Astyanax mexicanus: one gene and its partner. The protein of the gene in region 2 interacts with the protein of the main gene of each other region in a pairwise test. Links are inferred from orthologs where the notes say so. Each region holds a gene or a part of one and is shown on either strand. Other genes may lie near its edges.

What was found.
Region 1: the proteins of tp53rk (region 2) and tprkb interact in binary tests that used the Homo sapiens proteins (3 or more experiments, as listed by UniProt). The link is inferred for Astyanax mexicanus from reciprocal best matches to the Homo sapiens genes TP53RK and TPRKB.

What each region holds. Positions count from the first base shown.
Region 1 is NC_064409.1:18,910,218-18,926,628, forward strand, and holds tprkb (EKC/KEOPS complex subunit TPRKB), read right to left. Parts: upstream 7,374-16,411; 5' UTR 6,974-7,373; coding exon 6,797-6,973; intron 5,795-6,796; coding exon 5,672-5,794; intron 5,593-5,671; coding exon 5,416-5,592; intron 4,864-5,415; coding exon 4,777-4,863; 3' UTR 4,531-4,776; downstream 1-4,530. Other genes in the region: srr (L-threonine ammonia-lyase), read left to right, coding at 69-246, 909-1,090, 1,758-1,888, 2,253-2,401, 2,933-3,022, 3,515-3,756; alg10 (dol-P-Glc:Glc(2)Man(9)GlcNAc(2)-PP-Dol alpha-1,2-glucosyltransferase), read left to right, coding at 8,435-8,602, 9,979-10,176, 11,017-12,075. UniProt on the Homo sapiens protein: Component of the EKC/KEOPS complex that is required for the formation of a threonylcarbamoyl group on adenosine at position 37 (t(6)A37) in tRNAs that read codons beginning with adenine.
Region 2 is NC_064431.1:14,937,985-14,953,956, forward strand, and holds tp53rk (EKC/KEOPS complex subunit TP53RK), read right to left. Parts: upstream 7,848-15,972; 5' UTR 7,761-7,847; coding exon 7,526-7,760; intron 3,756-7,525; coding exon 3,271-3,755; 3' UTR 2,593-3,270; downstream 1-2,592. Other genes in the region: uncharacterized protein LOC103021615, read right to left, coding at 231-324; slc2a10 (solute carrier family 2, facilitated glucose transporter member 10), read left to right, coding at 11,226-11,229, 14,401-15,588.

The DNA of each region.
Region 1 (16,411 bases), on a different chromosome or scaffold from region 2:
ACCATAGTGAAAACATTAATCCACATCTGAGTGATCTCTAACTGGAATTCTCCTCCTCTCTCAGTAAGATGGAGAACACCACAGCAGACAGTATCACTCTTCAGGTGCTGAAGGAAGCACGGGAGACGGTGATGTCCAGCCCTCTGGAGGTGATCAACACCCCCATGATCCCGTGGGCTCAGACCACACTGCCTCTCCACGAGTCCTGCAGCATCCACCTGAAGCTGGAGAACATGCAGAGGACAGGTCTGTAGATTACACATTTTCACAGGAAAAGTAAAAAAATTAACCTTCTATAAAGCTTTATTTTACTGTTATATTCTATTTGATAAAAATATTTTGTTGTACTATTTAACTCCAATGTTCTATTATAAAGTGGAATTGTAAAGTTCTGTTTTATTCCAAATAAAAAGATTTTATTATTTTATAAAAAACAATGGCTATAACATTTTTCCTTTATAACACTATTATATTCAAGCATTGTATGCTTTAAATATATTTATATTGAAAAATTCTATTCTATTATATATTTGTATTGTAATGTTTTATTGGATACCATAATTCTGTTGTAGTTTTAGTTGATTATAAAAATATATATATGTTTTTATTTTGTTAAGAAAACACCAATTGTTGTATTGTAAAGTTCTACTTTATTTAATATGTATTCTATTCAGTTTTGGATTCAGCACCAATTCTATGTTGTAAGCTAAAAAAAGGATTAAATTATAACGCATTGTCAGACTTTAACAGAATTAAATCAGGGTATTTAGCAGCATATCACAGTTTCAGTGTAGTGTGGCCCTTGTTTGATCCTGCCTGATGAACGAGGATGGTAAATCATATTGCATTAAAATATATAATATTATACGTTTATTTTTCACTATATTTTTCCTTTATTTCACCAACAGGTTCATTTAAAATCAGAGGTGTAGCAAATCAGTTTGCTCGAAAAGCCAAAGGAGGTCATTTTGTCACAATGTCAGCAGGGAACTATGGAAAATCATTTGCCTTTGCCTCTAAACACTACGGAACCAAAGGCAAAGTGGTGATGCCTGAAACCGCCCCCATCTCCAGATCCCTGCTAATACAGGTAAGAACACAGTCTGATTACAGAATAATGTCCGGAATGTCCGGTTGGGTGCCACATCGGCAAAAACCTTCAGCACGGTATTAAAACATTTTAATAAGATACATTTATTTCACAAATATAACCTGCCTGACGTGCCAGAAAACCGTCTCTGTGTCTCACTAATACAGGCCATAACAGCTCATTCATTCAAGTGTATTTAATATGGCCACAGGTGGACACATTTGACATTGTTCTCTTAACAAAAAAACGGGGAAAAAACACAATGTGCTCTGTTCAAATCAAAGGCTAGCTAGCTTAGCAAGTGAGCTACAGACCTCAACAAGCTACAAAACCCTTATTTTCTGTATTCTGTCTATCCAGTCTCTCTATCATTTTCATCTAACTGTGTAAGTTTACAGGACACTCTAAAACTCAGCTTACTAATGTCACTAAATCATTTTAAAAGTTTAATATCTAACCACCTTAATTTTAACTGTTTTTCTGTTATATTAATCTTATCTTCTTTTAAACTTAATTTCATATCAAGTAAACACAAGGCTTCCCTGCCCTCAGTAATACCCTATACAGTGGTAATGTTTTGACACAGTATGAAAAAGCGAATACCGCCCAACCGTAGTTTGGAATTTAATATTCATACAACTAATTAGAGCTAACTCTGAACCTACAGAGTTTTGGTATAGAAGTTGAGCGAGTGCCGACGCCACGTCTCTTGGATGTAGTCAATCACTGTGTTCAAGAGGAAAACATGACCTTCATGCATTCTTTCAATGATCCAGATCTCATAACAGGACACGCCAGGTACACAAATACTCATTATTACCCTACTCATTATTTTCTTGATCATAATCATACGTTTCTATTGTATTAGCAGTATTTTCTCATCTGTATTTACACATCTAATATCTAAAATTATGAATATCTCAATCTTTCATTTATGAACACTTAAGTTATATTATAATAGTTATGACAAGCATATACTTTATGCACTATATACCAGAGCAACCCCTCAGCAACCACTTAGCAACACCATAGTAACCACATATTATCACCATCACCATTATTGATAAATGTTAATATAAACATTGATGTTAGACTTTTCTACTAAACGTTAAAATACTATTTATTGTTACAGTCTTTTCTGGTATTTAACAATTTACTGCAGTCTAGGCTTTGAGGTTCTGGAGGTGGTTCCTAATCCTGATATAGTGGTGGTGTGCTGTGGTGGAGGGGGGTTACTGGCTGGAGTGGCCGCTGCCATTAAATTGTCAGGATGTGATGAAACAAAAATCTATGGAGTGGAGCCAGAAGGAGGTAAAGAATTTAATTATTTCCTGTCCAAAAATCTCATATTTTTTAAAAATGGAAACAAAAAAAACATTGTAACTTTCTATTGCAATCAGTATAAACTTTTATTAAAATTGATTTTGAAGCATTTCTATTGGTCCATTCATCATGAAAACTTAATTCATTAAGAAATGATGGAGATACAACGTTTTTGCATGACAGCAATGATATATGTAGTAGGTACAGATTTTAATACAGTTTTGCTGAATTTAATGCAGTTGTGCTTATTGGTTGGTATACATATATTGTATTAAAATACATTATAATTACATTATATATTCAAAAGTGTAGCAAAATGAATCATCATGTAGCACTGAAAGTCACGTTTGCAAATTAAGCAATATAATGCTAATCAAATAGCTAAAATAATTGCATTACTAAAATAAATATGAAAAAAATCATGGATAGCTGTTTTATGTTCCTACTTATTGAAGACATTTGTGTTTATATTAGTGTATTATTGTTTTAGTTCATTGTTTAACCTTTTACTTTTAACAGCATGCACAATGTACAAAAGCTTCATTGAGAACAAACCTGTCGGCATGGACAGCAAAAGCATCGCTTCTGGTCTTGCACCTCCCTTTGCAGGTAAAACATTGTTGGATCAAGCCTTAATTCTTTTATTTTTTCCATATTGTGAAATATTTGTGCAGTTGTGGCACCCTGGAGTGGCATACAAAAACACTGTTTTGAGAAAATCTGTTCTTTTATGGGTTCAGAAGTGTACGTGCCTCCATATCTCTAAAGCTGGGGTGGAGTGACTGTCTAACTGTATCATTACCAAATCTCTCCTTAGTCAGGTGTCTGAGAATAGGAAGGCCTTTTCGATTCCATGTTATATGAACTATAACAAATTAAGCATTATATATATATATATATATATACCATAATTAATCAATTTCAGCTAATTCACTTATGTTTTTAAGGTTCAGTTCAATGTGTTTGTGGTAATGGGGAGGGATGTGTAAAATAGATTTTTGAGCTGAACCATCACTTTAATTTATGTGAAACAAATTTATGTTTATGAGGTCATTAAACCTTCACTTACAAGGTGTGTGGGTTGTGTGTTTTATGTTTCAGGTGCTCTACCGTTTGCACTGTGTCAGAAGTACGTGGAGGAGATAGTGCTGGTAACAGATGAGGAAATCAAGTCTGCTGTGTCCACACTCTACAGAGCTGGTCTGGTAGTAGAACCATCAGGTTCTGCTGCTTTTGCTGCTGTCATTAACGGCAGAATACCCAACATCACCGGCAAAACTGTGGTGGTCATTCTGAGTGGAGGAAACATTGGGAAAGATGAGCTCACCAATTTCCCTGACTGAGATAGGAGTTTAAAACATGCATTAATGCATCATCCTAAAATGTGATTTATATGATATTAATTATAGTATAGGTATAAATATTCATGAGCAAAAGCCTAAATTCTATCGTTTCTTCTAACCCACTCCTCCACTGGACTAAAGCAGCGTTATACCGGATCACCAAAGCATCATTTTTTTTTTCATAAAAAACAGGTCCCAGGGCATTCATTCATACTAGAGACCTCAACTAGACATTTTAAAATGAATGAAAAATATGAGACCTTTAAGGCAGAAATACAGTATGCTCGTAATTCAAGTCACTCCTGTGAAAATGCTGCTATAGAAAATAAAGATGTAGCATAAATTATCTGACCTTTGTGTGAGAGCTGCTGTGATGAGCGACAGATGTAGCCGCCACTCAGCAGGAGATCTACTTCTCCTCTCATTAAAAATGAATGGAGCAGAAAGATGAGGGCTGTTTAACCAGAGATACATATAAAAGCTACAAGTTGTAGCTACTGTATTAATACTCGGAAATTTGATGTAGACTGAGTTGTATTTAGAACCTCTTTGCAGTAGAAAGTTGTTTGTGCTACAGTGGGTACCCATACAAAAAAGGAACGATGTAAAATTTATTCATAAAACACATCTGAAATTGGCCAAAAATATATGTTTTTACTTGCTGTAATATAATTGCAGGCAGTTTAAAATCGAACTATATTTATAAAGACATGCACATCCATATAGTTGAATCAAGAAACTGGTAAAGAATGGTACAGAAAAAAACAAGCCAACTGCTTATAATCAGATTTATTTTTAAAAGGTACTGTAGATATTTAAACACAAACAAATAAATTAAAAACTAAGAAGGCAAAAAGTTTATCCAGGTGATGACAGAAGAACCACTTTTGCTTTTTTAGAGAATCTTTCTGAATATATATATATTTTTTAAGAAACCCAAAATAATTAATCTGTGGTATCCCTCCAGAAGACCTTTCTCTCCCTTTTTAAAGAGTGTGTGTCCTGTTAGTGTCCCCTAAGCTATACAACTTCCTTAGCGGCCATTCTGAGAACAACAGCATCCAGAACAGTTCCACACTTCTCCTCCTGCGGGGTGACTTTGTAAAGCTGAAAGGACAAAAACAAAAGCATACACTTTAATATCTCAGTCAGAGAACAGAAACAGATTTATGTAATGGTAGAATGGTGATATGACCACATTTATATTATTGTATGTGACTAGTTAAAGTCCTGCAGGGAACTACTCTAATGGTGGAAAAAAACTTTAAAAAACCTATTAATAATTTTTAAAAGGGAACTACATTGACGTTGTCCTGCAAAATATATTTAATTCTACATTTGACTGACATTTATGTTTGGAAAGAGTGTACATCTGGTAGTTGTTCTTTACATTGTTTCAAAATTTCAAGACTGTTGGATCAATAGAAATGCTCCAGAATGACTTGGAATTAAATTGACTTGGGATTACATATAGTCATCAATTTAACTGTTTTTAATGAAACAGTTAAAACTATTTGTCTATGTCTAATAGCATTCAGTTTCAATCTAACTGAAAAACAAAATATGTCAAACATATTTAGTGTCAAAACATTTTGATGCCACCATATCTGTTACACTACTCACCCTATATATGAACACTGGAATCACACAAAGACAAACCTTTTTAATCTTGGCCATATCACTGAGAGTGGAAATCTGATCAGCTGGAATCTGCTGGCCATCCACCTTAGACGTGACATCATCCTTATTGAAAATGTCCTCTTTATTATGAACGAGGACAACAAGGACGGCGCTGTCACTGTCTGAGACTCCAAACCTCCTAAATGCCTCAGAGATCTGTAAAAAATATTAATAATCACATTAATAATCATAGTAATCACAGTGCTTTATGATTTATGTTAACGGAAAAACTCACGTTGTTGGTGGGTGAGAGACTAAAGATGATCTCAGAGTACAAACTCCTCGTCTTCATTTTCCCAACCTTCTGTAAATGAACTGCCTTATTTGCTGCTACCAGAGTCTGGAACAGGTCCACAACCTTTGGAAGTAGAGGAAACAGAGAGAGATACACTTTCAACTACAGTCTAGTCAGAATTTTAATATTATTACTCCGCCTTGTTTTTACGCTCATTGTCCACTGTATCGTACTTTGTCATTTATTTATTGAGCAAAATGATCCAATATTTACGGTGGCCGAGAAAGCCCAGCGCAGTGCAAATTGAAAAGCGCTGCAAAAGCACAAAACACATCCATCAAAATTACAACACAGGCGCAGCAAATAGAAAAACGCGCTGCAAAAAGAAAAACGCGCTGCAAATACAACCACAACACAACGGAAGTGAGTCACAACACAACAGAATTTTCCCGGGGGACCTTAAAAGATGCTGTACCAGCTGTATACAAAGGACAATAAGTGGCAAACAAGCTTCTGAAAAGTAAGTTTGTTTATTACCTGTGATTACCACGGTTGTGTGCATATTATTAAAAGTTCTGCTTCACAAAACGCCTTGTTTGCCACTTATTGTCCTTTGTACACATAGTGAAGTCCGAGACGTTACTGAAGACGCAGCTTAGCTGGTACAGCATCTTTTAAGGTCCCCCAGGAAAATTCCGTTGTGTTGTGACTCACTTCCGTTGTGTTTGTATTTGCAGCGCGTTTATCTATTTGCTGCGCCTGTGTTGTAATTTTGATGGATGTGTTTTGTGCTTTTGCAGCGCTTTTCAATTTGCACTGCGTTGGGCTTTCTCGGCCACCGTACAATATTACATATTTGTCAGTGGCAAATGTTTGTGAACCTCTAGGGTTAGCAGTTATTTCGAAGGTAAAATTAAGAGTCAGGTGTTTTTAATCAATGCAATGACAATCAGGTGTAAGTGGGCACTCTTTTGTTTAAAGAACAGGGCTCTATCTAAGTCTGCACATCACAACACATGTTTGTGAAAGTGCATCATGGCCCAAAAAAGGAGATTTCTCATCAGGCAGGGATCTCTAAAGAGTTTGGACTGTGTACAAACGGAGGAAATTCAAGACCATTCTTACCCTTCCCAACACTGGTCCACCAACAAAGATCACTCCAAGAGCAAAGCATGTAATGGACCCCACAAAGGACCCCAGGGTAACTTCTAAGCAACTGAAGGCCTCTCTCACATTGGCTAATATTGATGTTTGTAAGTTTAAATGCAAGGTTAAATGGTTAAAGAAAGGAAAACACTGCATTCCAGCATAAGAACCTTATCCAATCTGTGAAACGTGGTAGTGGTAGCATCATGGTTTGGGCCTGTTTTGCTACATCATTGATGGAACAATGAATTCTAAATTATATCGAATAATTCTAAAGGAAAATTTCAGGACTTCTGTCCATGAACTGAATCCTAAGCACACAAGTTGTTTTATTAAAGAATATTTCGAGAGGAATAAAGTTAATCTTTTGGAATAGCCAATTCAAAGTCCTGATCTTAATCCAAAAGAAATGTTGTGAAAGAAACTGAAGCGAGCAGTTAATTTGTCTTTTTTGTCATTTCAGCCATTTCTCATTTTCTTAATTTGGAATTTGGGAGAAATGCTGTTCGTAATTAAGAAAATAAAACAACAATGTTCATTTTACTTAAACATATACCTATAAACAGCATCATCAGAGGAACTGTCTCTTTAATTTTTTCCAGAGCTGTATATAATAGTTGATCATTTTCCCTAAATAAACAAATTCATATGTATAATATATATTTTTCTTTTCATCTACTTTTAGGACTGATGTTTTTGGTCATACTTATGCAGAAATGTAGAAACTGTATAAGGGTTCACAACACTTTTAAGCACAACTGTCGTGTAGGTGTCTAATAAGCCTACACAGTGTTTAAAAACTCCAGCAGCACTGCTGTATCTGATTCACTCACTCATACCAGCACAACACACTCTACTAACACACCACCACCCAAATTATACTGTGGTGGTCTATACAGAGAAACAGATACAGGATTACAGTCTGTGATTATAGTCTTTATACTGTCTTTAACGTTACCATGCTGGGGTTAATCAGAGCTCCGGGTATCTGTCCCTCCATTGCCATCTTTCTCAGCTCTGCGCAGTTTTTCACATCTCTGAACAGCAGCTGAGTGACTGACTGATCGGGGAAGAGCTCTAAATCCTGAGTTAACTGCATCTCCAGCCTTAAATAAAATAAAAACACTCCTGGTTTACTAAACTAACCAAACTACAGCTAGCTAACCCTAGCTTACTACACGAGTGCACGAGACCAGGACAATAATATTGTAACACCCTCAGCACTGTGCTACGCTAGCTTGATAACTAACGTTCCGAGTATCAAAGTAGCTAGCTGGCTATGTCTAATACGTTTAAACGCGATGTAATCGGTATTAAATCATTTATATACATAAATATTATATTCTCATACATCACAATTTTTAATTGTGTTGTAAAAGATAAACTGTAAACCATACGGAACGTCTGCTCCCGTGCTCAGGTTTCCGTCTGTCAGGTTGTAACCGTCGCTCCGCTCTCCGCTGGCTCGCTGCAGTATGCAGGCGGGTAAAAACATATTTCCCGCTAAAACTGGAGAGTTCATTGGGTTATGACTAAACGGGATTATTGGTAGACAACCCCGGGGAACGAATCTGCAATTTACATTAGGCTGTAGGACGGTTAATAGAGAGAAAAGCGATGTTAGAGCGGGCGGAGTGCTACGCCTTCACGGCGCTGTGCAGCGTCAACTTCTTCATATCGTGTTTAATCTTCTCCTCTGTGAGCCGAGAGCAGAGAGAGCCTTATATGGACGAGATCTTCCACATCCCACAGGCTCAGAAATACTGCCAGGGCAAGTTCAACCAGGTGAGGACAGACTCACACATAGGCTGGAGCATCTAATCTGACATATAACCACATATAAAGGCATCATATGGGTGTGTTGAGAGCCTTACAGCTATCTACATAGATGTGTAGCTAGATATTGGTCTTATATGGGTGTTTACAGAGACTCATAACTACATAGAGCTACATAGGTGTGTAGCTAGGTATTGATCTTATATGGGTGTATACACAGAGTACAAATGTAAAGTGTAAATTAAAGACATGAATGTTCAGCACCTCCAGGAACTAATTCACAATGCTAAGAAAACTCATGAACCTCATGAAGACACTGAGATTAAAATACCAAGAGTGTGCAGATATGTCCTCAAAGCTAAATGTAAAACATATCATAACATATTTCTTATTTACAAAAATAATTCCACACAGTTCCTGTAGAGCCTTAATATAGTCTTCAAAATTACATTTACAATGTAAAAATTAATAAAAAGGAAGTGAACACATTGAATGAGGCCTGTCCAAACTTTTAACTGGTACTGTATACAGGACATTATGTGGAAGTACACAGGACATTGGTTGAGTGTATGCAGAATATCACATATACAGGGCATCACGGATGTATATAGGACATCACATTGTATATAGGGATCATCGCATGCATGTATACATGGTATATGCACTGTGGCTTTATATGCACAGGGCTTCGCCTGGTTGTTTACAGGACTTCATATATACAGAGCATCACTCGAGTGTGTACAGAGCATCATATATTGAGAATTGTGTGTATACCAGGGCATCACATGTGCATAGCATAACAATTGTACATGGGGTTTCACATAGTTCTGTTTAGAGCATAATTCTTGGTATCACATGGATGTATAGAGGATATCACATGGGTGTACATATACTAGTGCATCTAAAAAAAAATGAATATCTTGTTGCTGGTAATGTGGATAACAATGAAAATAAATAAATAATTGATCACAAAAAAATTGAATATCATTAAAAAGTTACTTTATTTCAGTAATTCAGTTCAAAACGAGAAATGAATGTATAACACAGAGTGATCTATTTATGCGTTAATTTATTTTATTGTTGATGATTTTAGCTTACAGACAATGAAAACGCAAGTATCAGTGTCTCAGAAAATTTCAATATTTTATAAGACCAATTGATACTTTTGGTAGTGTGGGCAGTTTGCCATGTTCTGCTGAAAAACAGAAATCTGCATCTGTGCTTGGAGGTATATACAGAGCATCACTTGGGTGTAGACAGTATTTAAGGACGAGCTTTGGTTCAGTTTCGATGATTTGCATTTTGTTCTAATTCTGTAATAAAGTAATAAATGCATTTTAAATAAATGTAAATATATAATGTATATTTTCTTTTCATTTTGTTAGTGGGATCCCATGATCACTACACTGCCTGGCCTGTATCTGCTGTCTGTGGGAGTGATTAAACCAGTGGTATGGCTGGCAGACTTCTCTGGGGCGGTGGTGTGCTCCACTGCCATGCTGCGCTTTATCAACCTGCTGTTTAACTGTGGGAACCTCTACATCCTCTATCTCATCATCTGCAGGCTACACTTTAAGGACAAGGTGATAATTAAGTGTTAATTTTTGTCGTATTTTCCTGAATTATCTCAATAATATTAGCTATTGTGTATTTTTAGATATGTCTGGATATGGCTGATATTTGAACTAATATTCCATTATGTGTAGGACCCTTTTATCAGTGCAAACCATTTAACCTGTTTTAATATATATAATATTAACTTATCATTAATCTACACTACATTTGACAAAAGTATTGGGATGATTTTTTTCTTTATAATATAAAAAAAACAGAGGAGTTTCCTTCTTTTGCTGGAGTAATTGTCTCTTCTGTTCAGGGAAGACTTTACTAGATTTGGGTGACTACTGTGAGGATTTGTTTGCAATTAGCAAACAAGAGAATTAGTAGAGTAAGGGTGATGGATGATCTCCTCTCCACTCCACCCCACCTCATCATCCTCACATCACAAACTTAGTCCAAGAGTATTGGATGGAGCTCCATCATTCCAGAGAACATGGCCAGCCTGTGGTAGAAAAAAAAATAAAGGACCATTTAAATTTATGAGTTTAAACTTAAAGGTTCTTTGCAATTATTTGTGGTCTGAAAGATATTTTTTGTTATTTCAGCCATTTCTCATTTTCTGCAAATAAATGCTCTACATGACAATATTTTTATTTGGAATTTGGGAGAAATGTTGTGTGTAGTTTATAGAATAAAACAACGATGTTAATTTTACTCAAACATATACCTGTAAATAGCTAAATCAGAGAAACTGATTCAAAACTGAAGTGGTCTCTTATTTTTTTTTGTAGAGCTGTATATTTACCTACACTGCCTTCTCAGGTTCTCACCACAGTGTCGCTTATCTTCTCTTTCTTCTCTAGTCCCGCTTGGCTGCTCGGAGAGTTCTCTCAGCCCTGACCCTGTCCACCTTCCCTGTGCTCTACTTCTTCACCTTCCTCTACTACACCGACGCCGGCTCCACCTTCTTCACCCTCTTCGCCTACCTCATGTGTCTCTACGGGTGTCACAAAGCCTCGGCCCTGCTGGGAATCTGCGCCATCCTTTTCCGACAGACCAACGTCATCTGGGTTGCGTTCTGCGCCAGCACGGTGGTGGCTCAGAAGATGGACGAGGCGTGGCGGGTGGAGCAGTCAAAGAAGAGGGATGAGAAGACCCCCTCTCAGGTCCCACTGTCTGTCAGTGGCGTGAGGAGGGTAGTGAATTTTTTGTTGTATTATTTTACGACACCGGCCAATGTGAAGACGGTGATCTTGGTGGCATGGCCGTATGGCTTAGTCGGTGCTGGTTTCGTTACGTTTGTGGTGCTGAATAATGGAATTGTGGTTGGGGACAGGACTAGTCACGAGGCTTGTCTGAACTTCCCTCAGCTTTTTTATTTCTTCTCCTTCACGCTGGTCTTCTCGCTTCCCGCCTCACTTTGCTACCACAGGCTGGTCAGGTTCGTACAGTCTCTGAGAAAGCACCCCTTCTTGTTTCTGCTGATGGCAGCTCTGTTCTTGCTGCTGATCTGGAAGTTCACTTACGTCCACAAGTACTTGCTGGCGGATAACAGGCATTTTCCTTTCTATGTCTGGAAGCGGATCTTCCAGAAGCACCATTTGATCCGGTTCCTCCTTGTTCCTGGCTATTTGTTTGCAGCCTGGAACTTTTACGACACTCTAAAGTTCAAGTCGCTGTTTTGGCTCTTAGCACTTTCTGTATGTTTACTGGCAGCTACAGTTCCTCAGAAACTGCTGGAATTCCGCTATTTCATCCTGCCGTATCTCCTCTACAGAGTACACATCCCTCTTCCATCTCTTCCTAGACTGCTGCTCGAATTTGCTCTCTACACAGCAGTCAACGCAGCCACGCTCTACATATTCATCTACAAGACATTTCACTGGCCTGATAGCTCTGCAGTGCAGAGATTCATGTGGTGAAATTTGAACACTGTAATCAGTTCACTTCTTTTTTCTTTTTTTTTTGGTACTGAAGATCAGGAAAAGAAAAAAAAGAAATGACTCCCTTTTTTTTCCTTTTTCCCCACGGCTCTCACCAGGTACCAGGTACCTTCCTACTGCAGAATCATGTCAGCAGAAGAACATTCGAAAACCAAAAGAGACATTGAATATGTATTACAGCAGTTTTCTTTTGTTCTCAGTCTTTGTCCTGAAGTACCACATATATTAAACTGTGTTCAAACTGCAGGCAAATGTACTTTACTTGATTTTATTTCTTAAATCAGATAAAAATAAGTTGAGATTAGTGTTGCTCCGATTTGACTGATGCTCTACTTGTATTGGTACAGTTACTGGCACTGCACACACCATATCATTCTCATCAGTAAAGAGCACTGATACTATGAAGCCGTTACTGACACACATTTTTTTATAACTCCGAAAGTTTTCGAATTTGCAGTTACTCAACCATTAAATGCTGTTCTTTCAAAATTGTATATCTTTTTTGAGATATAAAATACTACATGTACCCAAAATAAAACTATGGACTGTAAAATATAATGCTAAAAAAAAAAACTCTGAAGTAATTTAATCAGAGTTTGTATTGATATTGCTACTCAGTACTCAGTATTTACTACCCCCATTGATTGTCCACATGTTAATTGCAGTTGTTCAGATCAGATTTGCCTGTCTGAACATCACAAGTGTATCTGTACGAGTTTGACATCAGTAAGGCAATGGTCACACACAAGGTAAATGCAGCCCAAATATGATCTTTTATGCCAAATGTGACACAGGTATTTCGTTTGGGTGGCTTGGTACTAAAATCCGGTGCATATCCGACTTTGAAGGCATAAAAATAGGCTACAAGTATAGTGGAAAATGGCTGTGAGTAAACGAGAAAATAATCAGTAATACTAGAATTAGACTCATGTCTCAGCCTTGTGGTGTTCTTAATAATTTGGCTGAACGTGGCTATAGATCATGACTGCAGGGTCCAAAAAAAACTTGTCCATGATAGAAAAATACGTAATTGTATTTAATAAGATTATTTCTCATGTAGTGAGGAACACAAAGGCATCCAGACTAAGACAAATCTTTCAAAACTTACAAATCAGTTTCAAATTACTTCCAAATGTAGCAAAAATGCAGTTTCTGGCTTTTCTGACTATCACAATCAATATAAATACAGTCTAGTTATGCCAAAACTCAGATTTGTGCCAGCAGTCTGAACAAAGCCAACATTTCTCTTTCTACTAAGTCACCTGATGCAGCTAATGAACTAATTAGGTCACCCTTCCAGAAGTGAATGGGCCTGTTAGATCAGGACTAGAGAACCCTCCAGAACTAGAACCGAGAACCACTGGATTATGGGATAATGTGTTCATTAATATCTATGTTTGAAAACACAAGGTTTTTTTGGCACTTACTTAACTACAGTACTGTTCAGAAAACAGCTGTTGCAGTTAAAATTGTTCTGTTTGTGTTAAAATGCTGATCTCAGCAATAAATTTGTTTACACCTCTAAAAATACTGTATAGCAGTATACATCTGCACTGGTTGGCTATTGAATTGTTGGCTGCCTTGATCCAGCTAATCACTATGGGCTGGTTTCCTAAACAGATTCAAAGTGCTGTATAGTCCAGGACTAGGTTAATCACAGAAAACCAGCCCTATATTAATTTCCACCAGCAGCTCATTTGATTTACTTAAAGTAAGGACTGTTTAATTGATAACTAGGTGTTTGATGAGGACAGGGAATACTGAGCTTCTTCTAGTTCTCTTAATGTTTTAAGAAGCAGATAAGAAAAGGGGTGGATGGATTTTTTTGTCTTTAATATTAAATGTTCTACACAGTTGAATTGTGTTGTCTTTTTCAAATGATTCCTTAAGTGTCCTCGTCTTTATTCACTGCCATTTGAGTCGCCTGTCGTGGACCAAGCACAAGCATCATCTTTTTAATGTGATTCGACAAGTTGTTTGTTTTTTCTTCAAGTTATACTGGTTCTGCCTTGTTTACCCTTAAGATGAATCGCCATAAATACTGATGCCAGTTCTTTTAAACTTTAAACCCTGTTAGATACAGATAAAACACGTCAGTCAGTTTAGTCTTAATTTCTTTACCTGAATGTTTTTCCTTTCACTCATATGAATTCTCTTTGTATTTGTGAAGGTCCTTGTTCTCCATTGTCAGTGTTCATTTGCAAACCCACTGTTCTGATGCAATAAAGAAAGAATTTTAAATTTAGGCAGTGCTGCTTTTTTTTTTTCCTTTCAAAAAATTCTTCTGTCTGTTGTTTTGTAATTAAATTAAAATGACAGTCCGTATTATTTTGTTTCTAAATTGAAAGCAGAAGCATTTCTGAGTGGTACCATCAACTCAGTATTTTATCCCTTCTCCAGTGTGCTGGAACAACCATAACTGCTAAGCCTAATATATTTAAATATATATATTTATATATATAAAAAAACGGGATGTCAAGGGTCAAAAAACTTACCAAACTAATTTTGTGTTCCAATAATTAGTATTAAAGGTGTTCAAATCAATAAAATGACAAGGGTGCACAAATTTATGCACCTGCCTAATTTTGTTTAAAGAATTATTGAATTAAGATCTGTTGAATTAAGACCACGGGAAATTAAGTTCCCTCATTTGTTTTTCTGTATATTTGATCTTATTTTAATTATGACTAAGGAAGTCAATCTCAACACTCTGTCCTGTTACCCAAATTTATTATTTTCCAATTTTGGAAAAAATCACTAGAATGTACTTAGTGTCCTCATGCTATTAGCATAGCCGCCATTTAGCTATTTTAAATGTTTTTGCTAATTCTATGCTAAAAACTCATTCCTGTTACTTTCATTTATGTTACTCAAAACATAAAAAGTAACAAGAGTGAGTTCCAGTAACAGAATGAGTGCCATTAACAGTCATACATATCAATGATTTGAACATGCAGTCAACCATTTCTTTAAACAAAAGACTTTCTTGAGAGAAGGAATTAGTGCACTTGCTTTAAAACATTCTTTTTAAATGTAACATGGGTTTAGTAATCATGTTTGGCTTAAAATGTAAGTAAAGCTGCCTGAGTTTCAGAGTTGAAAAATGATTAAAAGAAGGTTTAATTTAGAAGAGTTACAACAAGCAAATAGCACCCATTGCTGAAACAGATGAGCAATTCATGCACACACACAGCTTGTATAGTCTCTGATGATGATGAGGTCTATCACTTTTGTCATTGAGTTTAAAAATCCTTAGAGCTAAGCTCTAAAATGTAATAGAAACCCTTAACTGCAAAATAATAAACTACTTTTTAAAACCCCTGATTACAGAAGAAACAATTGCTGTTCCAGTACTTTTGCCCATATAGTGTATGTGGATCAAATGCATACATAAACTTGATTTTGCATAAATGGATTGTTTTACATGTGTTTATAGAATGTTATGTAACTCCCAAAAGTAAGGTTCATTCCAGTGGTGTTTAATCCAAACGTTGGGAGCACTGGATTCTATGGAATGTACAGTAAAGCAAGGAGTATACCCATGAATAACAGCGTCCTTCCACTAGGTGGCAGTGTGAAACTGAATAGTGTAAACTGTCAGTTGGTTCTATATTTCCCACGCCTCATATTGGAGTACTGGAGTGGTTAACACAGGAAATCAGTACCATCCATTACTTCTTGTTCTGCCTGACAGTTTTAATTAGACTTGAGAATGTTTGTTTCACACAGTTATCATATAATTGGCAACTATTGGCTGAGAAATCTCCAACCAATTATGAGCGCTGGTAACTTTTTCTAACTGGTTTTTTAACTGGTTTCTAAGCTGAGGTTGTTAATATGCGTTGGATGCTGTTCTTATGCTTCTCCCACTCTTAGTTAACTCAGCCAAGATGCATACATGCAGTCTACAGCTAATTACTCTTTCAATCCATGTACATCCAATGATTCCTCCTTAAGCTGTCAAATCTGACCTGAGAGTTTTTATAATTGATGTAAAAAAAAAAAATAGCATCTGCAGCAGGAAGATTCAGAGCTGGGTAGGTAATTATGATGAGGGCTGTAATGAGGTACATGCTTCTGAATATATTCAGTATTTAAGTGTTAAAGCAGAGAAACAGAAGCACTTATTTGCACACATGTTCACAGACACTTTTCAAACATCCGGCTCATTATTTACACACTGTTCCTATTTTGATGGAACATTTCTCGATGATGACTTTGTTAAATGGTATAAAGAGAAAGGCCAGACAAAGCCATAGATGAACCACCTTCAGTTCCTCAAAGAACACTGGGACTCATTGGAACTGATATCTTT
Region 2 (15,972 bases):
TCATTCTAGGACAATGATATAATTACAATAAATTGTCTCTTCCAAACTCATGGAAATGACTGTTTTCAATATAAAATACATCATCTTAAGAGCCATTGCTTTAAATGATTAGTTTCATTTCTCTGCACTCTTCCCTACACTAATATGGCCCTTTTTTCGAAGACAACAAAGATTATTTATCACAGCTGAGTGTTTTAATGAGATGCCAATGAAGAGAATAATTCTCTTACCTGCAAGCTGGATGAAAATGAAGTGAATAAGAAAGAAATTGATAAAAAATGTTAAAGCACTGCGTTGCTGAGCTCTGAATCCGTCTCCGGCCATGCTAAGAATTCCTGGAGGAAATCTTAGTACTTCCTGTGGGGTCAAAGTTCATTCTTTACTGTTGTCATTAAGTTTCAACAGCTTTTAACTCAGCTATAAAATAGCCTGGGCACAATGCCTGTTGACTGATGACGTCGCTGTGCACCTGAACACCTCCCTCTGGATATTAGTTAATCATTTACAGTAATTGCAAACACTTAAAGAAACTGTACTGCTACTGTACTGAAGTATTAGGCCCATCTAATTAAAAGTAAGCATGTTTCATATGCAATTTAATTTGTATTAGTGATAAAATAAACCCAAACTTACAGTACTTAAGCTCTTTTAACTGAGTTAGATTGTGATACAGTACTCACTGTCACTATAGTACAGATTATGGTATAATAATTGAGCTAGATTGTGATATAGTGCTCATACTTTCACAATAATACAGTTTATGTCCCTATAGTAGATTCTGCTATTCTAATTGAGTTAGTGATGCAGTGCTAATATTCTCACTGTAGTAGCTTCTGCTCTTCTAATTAAGTTAGATTGTAATAAAGCACTCATATTTTCACTGTTGTACAGTTTCTGCTCCTCTAATTAAGTTAGACTGTGATACAGTACTCATACTTGCACTGTAATTAAAATTCTACTCTTTTTATTAAGATAGAATGTGATACAGTACGCATTATTTCAGTACAGTTTCTGCTCTTTTTATTAAGATAGATTGTGATGCAGTACTCATATTTTTACTGTAGTACAGTGTCATCTCTTTTAGTTGAGTTAGATAGTTAGTAGTCATACTTTCACTATAGTACAGATTATGCTCTTTTAGTTGATTTAGATTGTGATCCAGTACTCATAGGGTCACTATAGTAGATTCTGCTATTTTAATTGAGTTAGTGATACTATTGTCACTTTAATACAGTTTCTGCTCTTCCAGTTGAGCTAGACTGTGATACAGTACTCATACTTTCACTATAATTCACATTCTGCTCTTTTTATTAAGATAGATACAGTACGCATATTTTTTTAGTATAGTACAGTTTCTGCTCCTCTAATTGAGTTAGATCAGGGGTGTCCAAACTTTTTTTGTTGGGGGCCAAAAGGAGAAATATATTTGAATTCACAGGCCAAAGACTCTGTAATAAAACAAATAATGAAATATACCACTTTAAATAATGATAATGAATTTTCCTGATTATTTCATTTACACACCATTTTACTTGACTATCTTTGTTGTGTTGTAGTGTTGTGTAAACTAAGATTTTTCAAATTGATGTTTAATTTCATGATGTCTCTTAATATTAAACTTCTTAATTACAGCAACCTTTAGACTCTGTTTTTCTGCGCTAGAAATGTGCACTCTCTCCGCTTTTAGAATCTTTGCCCCGTTTTTCTGCGCTAGAAATACACACTCTCTCAGCTTTTAGACTCTTTGGCCTGTTTTTCTACGCTAGAAATGCGCACCCTCTCCGCTTTTAGACTCTTTTGCCCCGTTTTTCTGCGCTAGAAATGCGCACTCTCTCCGCTTTTAGACTCTTTGGCCCATTTTTCTGCGCTAGAAACGCGCACTCTCGCCGCTTTTAGAATCTTTGCCCGTTTTTTTGCACTAGAAATGCGCACCCTCTCTGCTTTTAGAATCTTTGGCCGCTTTTTGCGCTAGAAATGCGCACTCTCTCCGCTTTTAGACTCTTTGGCCCATTTTTCTGCGCTAGAGCTGTGCACTCTCCCCGCTTTTAAACTCTTTGGCCGGTTTTCCTGCGCTCGAACTGCGCACTCTCGCCGCTTTTAGACTCTTTGGCTCGTTTCTGACACCTAGCGTTCAAACTTTGAATCTCATTATAAAAACCTGCTTAACAGCGGGCCAACTTTCATCCTATTACTAAAAAAAGGAAACAGGCCGCAAATGGCCCACGGGCCGTAGATTGGACACCCCTGAGTTAGATTGTGCTATAGTACTCATTTCCACTGTAGTACAGTTTTTGCTCTTTTAGTTGAAATAGATTGTAACAGAAGTCATATTTTTACTGTAGTAGTTTCTGTTCTTTTTAGTTGAGTTAGATTGTAATACAGTAATCATACTTTCACTATAGTACAGTTTCTGTCCTTTTAATTAAGTTAGATTGCGTTACAGTAGTCAAATTGTCACTCTAGTACAGATTATGCTTTTTTATTTTTATTTACATTGTGATACAGTACTCAGTATTGTAGTAGTTTCTGCTCTTTTACTTGAGTTAGATTGTTTTACATGCACTGTTTGGAAGACCACACACAGAATCAAACTTTTGTTTAAAAAAAACTTTTATTTACAACTTAAAGCAACTTTATTGTGATATCAGTAATAACCAGAGAGGCACATTGGTATGGAAGTAGAAACCAGTACAAGATGTGGTGTGGTGTACGGCTGCACAATGTGATTTCAGCTTTGTTAGTGAGTTCTGCACACGTGCAATATTTACATTATAGGATAAGTGAGTTTTTATTTATTTTTCACTTTGGCAACAATAAGGGTATATTTATTAACAGTATGTTACCACAGAATGTTTTAACTAATTATTGTCACAAATAATGCATAGTTAATTATTTAGTTACGACTATTTTATTTCACTTTTAATAGTAAAATTCTAAAGAATGACAATTTAGTAATTATTTATTAGAACTGTTAATTGTGAAGCTTATTGTAAATCGTTACCAATATTTACATTTTATGACAAAAAAAAAATCTACCAAAGGCAGATTACATGCTCAATATAATTTTTTTCACTCCAATAATAACTGTACAGTATGTTGGATCACTGACAATTCCAGTTATTTCAAATTTCACAATATATATATTGCAGAAAAATAAAATATTTGGTTTTATATTTTATATTGATTTTTCATCGATATTGTGCAGCCCAAGTATGGTATCATCTTCCATGAAAATTCAAATTAAGATGGGGTATTACAGACTTTTCCAACTTATCCAACCATAGACCTCTTTCGTCCTCTCAGTCTGACTTCGTCCAGTTTTTTAATGACAGCTGGAGCTTTTTTGGATGCAGCGATGTAGCTCTTCAGAAGTCTCTGGAACAGAGCCTCGGTGTTTGGGTGGGTGCTGAGGAACGCCTTCTCCAGGACGTACATGTCCACCCCTTTATCCTCAGGCAGGGCAGAGATGTAGCTCAAGCCAAAGTCTATTAGAACCAGTTTGCCTGGTTTTCCGTCTTCTTCACCCACCAGCAGCATGTTGGAGGTGGTGAGGTCTCCGTGGACGACGTCCTCATCGTGCATCTTGGCCAGGATCTGTCCGATGCGGTCGGCCAGGCCGTACAGCGTCTCTGTGCTTCGTCCAGATGCTTGAGTGGAGGTGATGTGCTCCCTGATGGTGATGGAGTCTGTGATTTCCTCCAGGAAGATGCAGTTAGTGGTGTAGTCAACGAAATATACCACTGGAGCACTGATACCTGCAGACAGAGAAACACAGAAAAAAAAATAATATTGAATCATTTGTGAACACTTGTTTTGTTCTTTATTTACACTATATAGTAGTGTCATAGGCAAGAGCACTAAACCCAAGTCAAGACCAAGGACAATGGGACAACTGATCTTTTTTATTATGCAGACTACTGATGAACTGAGCCAATCACAATATTGTTTCTAACACTGACTGATTCAAAATCGATTCTCATTTTCAAAAAATCTTTTTTTTGGGGTGAAGCTACTGTTGCGCGGCACTTTTTAACTGTACCGCAGAACTCTTTAACTCCCCTGCGGCGCTCTTTAACTGTTAAAAAGCTCCGCAGGACAGTTTGAGCTCCGTGCGACAGTAGGTAAGCTTCGCGGTACAGTTAAAAAGCTCTGCACGAATCGAACATCAATTCTGAATCGAATCTGCCCAGCCAATGTTTAAACTCCAGCTCACTGCAGAAAAAAAAGACATTTTTATGAAACATTTACCAATCAGAAAAAAGGAGGATCATTAGAAAAACTTTTGGGGTTTCTGGACGCTGCCCCAGGGTGCACACCAATTGTGTACTAATTACTATTATTCACTAGTATTTGAGTACAATGCACAATGTATGTAGTGTGTAGCATAAATGTGTGAAGGTGGAGTATACTCAGATATCCACATGAGTGTGGTTACAAAAAGGAAAGCCTCCAGTTAATCCCAAATCACCGTCTCAGTTAGGTAAGGGGACTTTAAAGGACAAACACTTTTTTTATTTGTTTACTACGCAATTCCACATCTGTCACTTAATTGTTTTCATGTCTTTAACATTAATCTACAATGTAGAAAAAAAAACATTTTAAAAAGTAATAATAAAAAAAAAACATTGAGAAAAGTGTCCAAACTTTTAAGTGGTACTGTACTACACTCAAGGCTGCCTATATATTTTATATGAAAAGGGGAGTAAATGGCCTAAAAAATGTACGTGTGATTTGTTGTGCATGCATTATCATTCCTTATATATGGTATGTGTTAATAAATAATCTTGTTATTAAAAAAAAAGCTTATTCTGAGTCAGTGACTGAGTGAGTGAGTAGGTGGGTGGGTGGGTTAGTGACTGACTGAGTGGGTCAGAGAGAGAGTAGGTCACTAAGTGAGTGGGTTAGTGCTTATATCACGAAAATGGCCAATTTAACATAGGCTGGAATACCCAAATCCTAGCTGACATACCCAGCCTATGGACACTAACTGTTCCAGTTCAAATGTATAGCAGAGTTAATAGTCAGAAAGCGTCAGGATAGTAGAAGTGTTAGTCGGAAAGTGTCAGGATAGTAGAAGTGCTTGTCCGAAAGCGTCAGGATAGTAGAAGTTTTAGTCGGAAAGCGTCAGGATAGTAGAAGTGTTTGTCAGAAAGCGTCAGGATAGTAGAAGTGCTTGTCCGAAAGCGTCAGGATAGTAGAAGTTTTAGTCGGAAAGCGTCAGGATAGTAGAAGTTTTAGTCGGAAAGCGTCAGGATAGTAGAAGTGTTTGTCAGAAAGCGTTAGGATAGTAGAAATGTTAGTCGGAAAGCGTTGGGTATTGCAGGGATAGATAGGGGGCGCATGACCTCATCTGACTGTTTGGGATTCCAATTCATTTCTATGGGGCCAGATTTCACCAATCATATCTCAGGAATGAAAGGTCAGATTGGTCAGGTTGGCGGGTTATTTCATCTGCATTTCAGATCACCGGCGTGGCGTACCTCAGAATAAGTTCGTTCAAGAAGTGCTGGACGCCAAAGTCGACGGGGAAAACATGATCATTGAAGTGAGTGTGGTTATGATGATCAGGGGTCAACAGGTTGTTCATTGGTTATTAGCAAAATTATTTTTTTTTGTTGTTAATTTACAGGTCAGCAGTGGTCTTGAGTGGGCTTCGAAAGGCGTTACACCTTCCATAACATCCGGACCTCCCTTGTTCATCATGTAAGTACATATTTAGTGTTCTGATTGTTTATGAGGAAGTATGGTGAAGGGTGTGATGGGTTTGATTGGAGATAACCACACCTTCAAAGGTGATATCAAAGTTCATATTTAACTATCCTGTTTTGATTCTGAATCGTCCTTCCCAAAGGCCAAGAGGTGCCTGTTTGACGAGTCCTCCTCAGACTCATTCAAGGCCCCACAGTGCCATGTTGTAAGTCATTATTTTCACAGTTCTGTTTTACAGGAACAGTAATTTATTGAGGTTATTTAATGCTCTAATTTGGTTGGTTTATTTGTTTGCTTGATTGTGTTTTTTAGGGTGACGAAGTGGCGAGACAGGATCCAGTATTACATGAAGACGAGACGCAGCTTCTCCAGACACCAGGGACTTCGGCGATCCAGGCTAGCCTTGCCTACGCCTCCCCCGTAACCCCCCGGCCACTTTCCTTGTCAAGTGAGGACGAAAACATGGAGGCTGTTACCCCTGTCCACTACTCCCAACCGAGCCACCCAGCAACTTTAATTCTCAAACGAACACTACAAAATGGAGGCTGTTACCCCTGTCCATAACTCCCCAGCAACTTTCATTTTCAAGCAAAGACGAACAAATTGAAACGACAGAGTCTGAGGTGGGCCCCTCTGCCAAGTTTTACTTGTAACTTTTGCAAATTGCCCAGTGTTTCCATTCAATTTGGTTTAAAATTGATTCTAATTTCTTTTTAAATATAATAATAATAATAATAAAACAATTATGGTGTGTTTTTAAATGCCACTATAAACAGTATTTCTAACATTTCTTTTGTTTTTTTATGTTTAATATTGCACTTTTAAACTGTTTAAAATAAATAAATAAATTATTATTGATCGTTTGTTGTGCCACTTTAAACAGTACTTAAAACTCATTGGTGCTTTCTGATAACACTCTGGGACTTCGATGACACTTTGGGTCCCAAAGTGTTGTTTAGGGCCAAGGTGTCGGATACCGAAGTGTCATTTTGCTGGTTTTTGCCGAACTGTAAATCCAATCTCCAAGAAACTTGTACCAATGCTTTCAGGACAGCGAGTTGCACCAACTAAAATAAAAATTTTGGATGAAAAACCATCACCTAAGCAGATACAGTTAAGTGTATTTTTCTCAGAGAGCGAAGGGTTAAACACAAAACCGTTCGATCATTTGGTGCGGCTCAGTGAGGCAACCCACCGGAACAAGTTTGGTGCCAGTCAGACCTATGGTTGAGAACGAAGAGAAGAGAAAAAAAAAAAAAAAAAAAAAAAAAAAAAACTTTCGCTATCCAACACACTTTCATGATAAAAGGCGGGCATGTACCAACTTTCGGCCGTTCCGAGACACTTGGTGAAAACATGCTATTTAGGGTCAAATTATGCTTTGGTGATTTTGGGGGCACTCTAATATCAATTTTGGAAAAAGTTAGTACCAAGATCACAGAAGTGGCAACCACTGCTGCCACCTGGGCTGTCGGAGGACCACACTGCACCCAGGTAATTAAGGAATCTGAAGGGGGTGGAGTCGCCGTTACTTAATATTAAAAAAAAAACACTAGAGGGAGGACCATTTAGCCTAATGGAGTTTCGGACCTGTGGCACCTACTGTGGATTTTTTAAAAATCGTCAAATTTTGTCTACAGGAAATCCCATTCATTTTTTGTGTTAAAAAACTCCACAAAATAATATCTGAGATCGATAAGACTGCCACCAACGGATTGTATTTTTTGAGTAGATATTTCTAGTGGGTCAGTAAATAAGTGACACAGTGAATGAGTGAGGTGAGTCAGTGAGTGAGTGAGTAGTGTTGGGTACTGACCCGCTTTCCTGCAGCGCAGTATGGACCGGACCTCCTGTGCGGTTCTGCGCTTTGTCAGCTTCTCATCCAGGACCGGGTGTCGGTACCGCTTCGGAAACCGCTCCTTAACGATGGTGGACTTCCCCAAGAACCGGCCGCGGTAAACCCGGGCCTCCGCGCCCTGTTTCAGCAGCTGAGCTCCGGGTAAACTCGGCGGAGCGACAGCGCCGCCACTACCACCATCCATACCCGCCATGCTTCTGCTCCATCCGAGAACCAACTCCTGTTAGTTTCAAAATAAAAGTCCTACAGCGGTGTTTGACTTTCTTTCGGTGGGATGTACAAGTAAAAATTTTAGACACAGCTTCTCGTTCTGTGTTTTATTTAATAATTGTTCTACATTGTAAATGAATACTGACATCATCCAGACTATGTAAAAAAATCATGTAGTAAACTTTAAAGTGTTAAACAAACCAAAATAATATATTGTCTCTTATCTGGGGTGCTGTTAACTTGTGGTTTCTGAGGCTGGTAACTCTTATTAACTTATACTGAAGAACAGAGGTAACTCTTTTGATTCCTTTCCTGGGTCCGTCCTGCTGAGAGCCAGTAATATAATAATGTCATCTTAATCTTTACTTAGTTGAGTAGTTCTTGTCATAATATGGATTAGAACATTACTCAGATAGGGCTGTAGGACTGTATACCAACTCTACCTCTTCACAACTTTACAATTGTTGCTCTCATACACATTAAGAGGACAAGAAATACAGGTCATTAACTCTTGATGAGGCACAGCTGTTAACTGAAAGCGATTCCAGGTGACTCTACCTCATAAAACTGACTGAGAAAATACCAAGATGAAATAAAATAAAAAAACATATTCTGATTTGTTTTTGTTTTACATCTTTATTTACGAAATAATTCCATTTGTTTTTTATGTGTAGTTTGGTGACTTTATTAAATGATGAATTTATTAATCTACAATTTAAAAAACACTGTGTTCAAACCTGGTACTATATTTGGGATTGAATGATTAACAAAATCTCTGAAATATCTCACATTCTAATTTAATTTCTTTATTATATACCGAGCTCGTAAAAATTCCAGGGTAGATAAATAGACACACAAACCCTTCCTTTAATTTAATAAATAATTCTTCCAGTTTAATAACTTTTTTCTCTCAATTTAATAAATGTATTTATTTATTTATTTAGTTAGTTAGTTTTTTTTTAAATCCTTTTTTCAGTTTAATAAATCTTTCCCCCAGGTTAACAAATTCCTTAGTTTAATAAAGTATTTCCTTGGTGCTCCATTTTTATTGGACTGACACAAATTACAGCACACAATGGGGAAAAAAATGTCAAAATAAGCTTCTTTTATCTAATAGTGACGTTAAAATGACACTAGTTAAAAGTAACATATACGGTTCTATGTTTTGCCTAGTACTTCGTTTGAAATGAAACCAATAATTAATTTTAATGACTACCAACTGTGTACCAACATTCCTCCAAAGTAAACTAAATATAAACTGCTCGCTTGTGTGTACAAGATAAGCGTGTGAACTGCTTGAGTTCAAAATAAAAGACCTTCTTTAAACTAAATGCTCGATTTACGAAAAATGTTCTGTATACTTTTTAACAGTAACGTTAATCTGAATTAAACTAATTTAAGAGCTTATCAGAATTATTTCCCATATTTAGTAGGTAATAGTATAAAGACAGACAAATAAATCTGATTTATTACATTTAACTGTATAAATCAGGTAAATGTAAAACGTATTTCACTATAATTAAATAAAAATAAATAATCTTGCTTGTTTATTTATTTTTTAATTATATTGTTCATTATTTTGCTGATTTGTTTGTTTATTCGCTTTTTTTTAAGAGCCAACGTTGTTTTTAAACCACCCGTATTCTGACACGCCCCGCCCTCCAGAAATAAGATTGTCCAATCCTTCGCAGACAATCTTAAGAGGAGGGCGTGGCTTGTGAGTGAACGGGTGCGTAAAAAAACACAACGGTATTTGGAGTTTCTGCCACGTAGCTGAGCTTGTTTGTGGAAACTTTAAATGTGGAGAAAAAGGTTCAGGAACATTGAGGGATGTCTTAAAACAAGGTAATAAAGTAATGTGCTAAGTAGAGTACAGATGAATAGTTTTTAAATAACTTTTTATTATATTACAATGTAGCTTAAAGAGTTAGGTGGGGAGAGGGGCTTCGTGAAGCACTCAGTATTGTCCTACCTAAAGTTAGCTAGGTCAGGTTAAAGTTTTAGATACGTTTATATAGATCACTTTAAATTTAATTCTACTAGTAAATCACTGCTATAAAGACATTTCTTCTCCTGTAATGCTGTTTTGGGCTCATGTCATTTAGAAACATGGTTGTATTTAACCAGAAGCTTGCTAGACATAGAGTAAGACAGCAGGTAGAAGGATGGTTCTGAGAGCTTTTATTGCTTGGTAGGTTTTAATAATGATATATAATAATATTTCAGTCTGACAGACCAGGTCTTCAGAATATGGACTGCATGATAATAATAATAAAATCTGATCTGCAATCTGATATTGCAAAAGTTTTCTTAACTGAAATATTGAGATAGTAAAAATGATAGGAATTGTCATAAAATGCAGTGCAGAAATAAAATTACCTACAACATTTTAAGAAATGTAATTGTTTCATAGAAATGTTCAGTCTTTTACCTATTATTACCTAAGGCAAAAAATGTTGAATTAAATTTATGTTGTGACTATTCCATGGATAAATCTGTAATTTAAAAAATTTAATTAAATTCACCTGACTATTGATAAACATAAATTACTTATCAACAGACTTCTTAAACTTGAATTATGGAAAAAAAATACCTGTGGAATAAATACATTTACGAAAATAGGAATAAAAAAAACTCAGATCCATGAATTAAAATCATTAATTAAAACAATTATTTAAAATAGAAATATTAATTTAGGTCAAAGGTGAAAACATCAGTTAGATTTGATGGATCAGAATTTTTAAATCTTGTTTTTTTATGATGGTTTTTCATTGTTTTAGCATATATTAGGAGAAAATTCCACCACCTTACAAGTTAAAAACACAGAAAAACATTTAAAATTAAAATTTATGAATTATGCTTTGAAATATTTCAGGTTTATAAAAAGTCAGGTCAATTTAATTAAAATGTTCAAAATGCAGATTTAAAGCTCATCTCAGCCCTTAAACTCTGTAACATGTTCCAGATTGATTGACCACAATTGCTTGGTATTTAGCCACTGTTCAGATGCATGCTTCAATTTAAATCAGATTATTACCAACTAAAATGAATTCAGTGCTTAAAGTTTGTAAATCTCAGCAGCCGCAGTGGAGGGGCAGGTCTTCTGAGGAGGTTTATTTATGGATGATTAGGCCATGGACTGGCAACCTCGAGTGGGGCTTATCACAATCGACGGGCATCAACGAGTCGGTTGCCATGCCCACAGGGCTGCACTAAGGATCCTGCGGCTGGAGAGGAGCTTCAGAGAGGTTTGGGGTGAGCGGGGAACACATTTACACTCTAAACACAGCAGTAACGCACATTTTTATGTACCATCTAAGGATTCTGAGGATCTGCTGATACAGCTGTGCTTCATTTTCCAGACCTGGTGCTCAGCTGAGGAGAAAACATACAAATTGTGCATTATTGGACCATGAAGCAGCTCTGAAGTTCCATAAAGGACAGCAAAATGGGTAAGATGGGCACTTCTTTATGTGTGATTGTGCAAATTGTGTATACTGATGTATCAAACGTTTAGATATTATATCACAGTTACTGAGACATTTTATCCTCATATACAGCTCTGAAAAAAATAAAGACCACTTAAAAAGTATGAGTTTATTTGTTTTTACCCAATTGAAAACATCTGGAATATAATCAAGAGGAAGATGGATAATCACAAGCCATTAAACCAAGCTGAACTGAACTTGTTTTTGCACCAGGAGTGGCATAAAGTTATCCAAAAGCAGAGTGTAAGACTGATGGAGGAGAACATGCCAAGATGCATGAAAACTCTAATTAAATAACAGGGTTATTCCACCAAATATTTATTTCTGAACTTTTTCTAAAATTTAATGAATATGAACTGGTTTTCTTTGCATTATTTGAGGTCTGAAAGCTCTGCATCTTTTTGTTATTTCAGCCCATTTTCATTCCCTGCAAATAAATGTTCTAAATGACAATATTTTTATTTGGAATTTATAGAATAAAACAACAATGTTCATTTTACTCAAACATATACCCATAAACAAAATCAGAGAAACTGTATATTGATTTTGAAAAGTCTGCATAAGGGTAACTTAAATTACCTAAATTAGCATGACATTGAACCAAATAAGTGGAACTCTGCTAATAAAAAACACTGCATTGAGAAATGTTGACCTGAATGAACAGTTATCTGAATTAGCTGTTCTTCTACACCTCCAGACGTACCTTAGGCTGACCTAATCATAATCTAACCAAACAAGATCAAATAAAAGAAGAAACCATGTCTGGCAAGGTATAATATCTTAACCTGGCAAACTACAGTGGCGTGAAAAAGTATTTGCTACCTTACAGATTTCTTTTTATTTTGTATTTTTGTCATACTTATATACAGATTATAAAACTAACTTTAATATCAGACATATATAACCTGAGTAAATATAAAAAGCACTTTTTACATTATGATTTATTAAGGAAAAATATCAATCCAAACCAGTCTGGCCCTATGTGAAAAAGTGTTTGCCCCCCCCCCCCCCCCCCCATAAATTAACTGTGATTAATCACACTTTTTGGAAAGCTGAGTTTAATTTAAATACTAACCACAACCAGGCCTGATTACTGCCAGACCTGTAGAACCAGGAAATCACTTGAATAGAACCTGTCTGACGACATGAAGCAGATAAAAGATCGCAAAAATCAACACATAATGCTCCAATCTGAAGAAACTCAAAAACAGATGAGAAAACAAAGTCATTGATCATCTATCAGTCTGGAACAGGTTACAAAGTAATTTCTATAGCTTTGAGACTCCAGCAAACCACAGTGAGAGCTAATATTCACTAATTGAGAAAACATGAAACACTGGTGAACCTTCCCAAGAGAAACCAAACGACCACAATTATTCCAAAAGGGCATCATGAACTCATCCAGGAGGTCCCAAAACAACCCAGAACACCATTTAAAGAACTGCAGTTCTCACATGCCTCAGTTAAGGTCAATTTTAATGATTCAATAATAAGAAAGAGACCGTTAAAAAATGGTCTCTATAGGAGGATTTCAAGGCAAAAAACACTGCTGACCAAAAACAATTTACACATTTACCAACAAACATCTTGATGATCCCCAGAACTTTGGGTAAATATTCTTTGTACTGATGTGCCAAAAGTGGAGCTTTTTGGAAGGTGTGTGTCTCTTTACATCTGTTGTAAAACTATCACATAATTTCAGAAAAAGAACATCATACTGAATGTAAAACATGGTGGTGGTAGTGTGATGGTCTGGAGCTGCTTTGCTGTTTCAGGGTTTGGACAACTTGCTGCAATAGATGGAAGCAGGAATTCTGCTGTTTACCAGACAATCCTGAAGGAAAATGTGCGGCCATGTGTTTGTGACCTAAAGCTCAGATGTACTTGGGTTCTGCAGCAGGACAATGATCCAAAGCACACAAACAAGTTCACCTCTGAATGGCTTTAAAAAAAATAAATGAAGGTTTTGGAGCAGCCTGGTCAAAGTCTGAGATGCTGTGATATGATCTTAAACAGGATGATCATGCTGGAACATCCTCCAATGTGGCTGAATTAAAACAATTCTGTAGAGAAGAGTGAAACAGAATTCCTCCACAGAGACGTGAAAGACTCATAGCCAGTCATGAGTAAAACTTAACTGCAGTTGTTGCCGCCAAGGGTGACAAAACTAAGTTATTAGTTTTAGGGGGCAAACACTTTTTCACACAGGTTTGAATAGTTTTTTTCCTTTAATAAATGAAATTATCATTTAAAAAGTGCTTTTTATATTTACTCAGTTTATATTTGTCTGATATAAAAGAGTCAGATGTAATGGGTTTTCACAAAATATGTTTTTACTGTAAAATTGTATTATTCCAATGGAACAGAGAAATCCGTATATCAAAAATATTTTGTTCACGCTTATTTACAGTTGTATGCAAACAACTTTTACCAATATTAATCATTAATTTTACTTGTTATTTTTGTCTTTATCCTAGTATGTGTTCAGATTCGGCTAAATGAGATTTGTTTCTTAGATCAGATCTGTTAGGCTGGATGTCCACTAGGGATGTGCCAAATGTTGTAATATAACATTTGCAATAATGCAATAATAGAATTTAATTTTTATTTTGTTGCAGTAGTGTATTCTTGAAATATTTTTTTTTATTTAATGTTTTGTCATATCACTAAGAGTATCGTTATCGCGAAAATACCATGAAATTATATATTGTTTTATGCCCTTATCGCCCACCTCTAATGTCCACACTGTTATTTGTGAGTGATCAGATCGGATTTGCCTGTCCAGATATCACAATTGTATCTGTGTGCATTGCTGGTGTGTGGAGGTTGACGTCAGGAACTAAACTTTGGTGCTCTTTTTGGACTCCCACACTTCCATCACTGTGTATATGATGAGGTCATGGTGTACAAATCATATTTTATTTATATTATAATCGTATTTAAATCCTCTCCAAATGTGTTTTTGTTGTCCAGACCTTCAAGTCTAGATTTCCAAAAAATCTGATTCAAGTCTGAACACAGTCTAATAGTAGAAGCACAAAAAACACTTTTACTTTGCCCGCGTTATTTTTTTTAAAATTCCAAATGTAACCTTCAGAGAATGTACTAAAACCAAAACCTTCTCTCTTTTACTAGGCTGCCCAATTGTGGTGCTTCCCACTACGGTGTCCACACTCGGGGGCCTGGTCTTTGGCTACGAGCTTGGGATCATCTCTGGAGCCCTGATGCAGCTCAAAGCCCAATTCCACCTGACCTGCGTCCAGCAGGAGACGGTGGTCAGCGCTCTCCTTATTGGCGCAGTCTTTGCGTCCCTGGTTGGCGGTTGGCTGATTGACCGCCACGGCAGAAGGACCTCAATCTTGGTCAGCAACCTTTTGCTCCTCTGTGGCAGCTTGATTCTCAGCTCCAGCAACTCCTTCCTGATGCTGGTCGTGGGTCGGCTCTCGGTGGGCTTTGCAATTTGCATATCGTCCATGTCCTGCTGCATCTTCGTGTCTGAGATGGTTCCGTCGCACCGCAGGGGTCTGATGGTCACCCTGTACGAAGCTGGCGTCACCGTTGGGATCCTGGTGGCTTATGCAGTCAACTATGTGTTGGCTGGTGTTCTGGAAGGGTGGAGGTACATGTTCGGGTTAGCCGTGGCACCGTGCCTCGCTCAGCTGGTTTCGGTTTGGGTTCTTCCATCGCAGAACCAAGGTCTAGTCCAGCTTGTACCAGACAGTCAGAACATGAGTGACTGTCCAGAAGAAGAACCTTCTTCAAACCAGGTTCTGAAGGACCACAAGCGGTTTACAATCTTTCATCTGTTTCAGCGTAAAGATAACTTGCGCTCAAGGACACTAATTGGACTCGGACTCGTGCTGTTTCAGCAGTTCACGGGTCAACCAAACGTGCTGTTTTACGCTTCCACCATCTTTCAGTCCATGGGATTTAAAAACAACGCTTCAGCCATTTTGGCCTCGCTTGGCCTCGGAATCGTCAAAGTCGTCGCAACATTTGTGGCAATGCTCTGTGCAGACAAGGCTGGACGAAGGCCGCTGCTGATCGGCGGTTGCTCATTAATGGCCTTGGGTTTAATTCTTATCGGGTTCTTGAGCAGGAACTCGCTGTTGGATGCTACAAGACACTGTAGCTCTGAGCCTTGTTTCAACAACACAATGCAAGTCCACAAAAAACCCATGGAACTGGATTTGATGAAGATTAGCAATCACACCACTGATGCTGGACTTTTAGACATGCCTCCAGCTATGGGGAGCTACAACTGGCTTATTCTGATCTGCATGATGTCAGTTGTTGCTGCCTTCTCTGTGAGCTTTGGACCAAGTAAGTGGTAATCTCCTTCTATAAACATTAAGTTTTACAATAATTAACGAATAATGCAAGCAAATCTTTAAAGCAATGTTCCAACATCTGCTGTAGAGCTTTTCTACCAGGGCTGGACTGGGACAAAACATCGGCCCTGGCATTTTTGGTTTAGACCGGCCCCTAATAATTAGTGGAGCACAACCGACTTGTAATTTATGTATGTGGGGTTACAGAGACGCATAATGTATCATCAGCATATCAAATATAAGAAGTTTATTGTCTATTATGAACTCCACCATTTTTGTCTGCTCTGTGTAGTTCAATTGATTCTTTATCCTTTTTATTGAAATCATCTCTAATATGTATTTTTTTTAATTCTCTGATACAACAGTTTAATTCTAA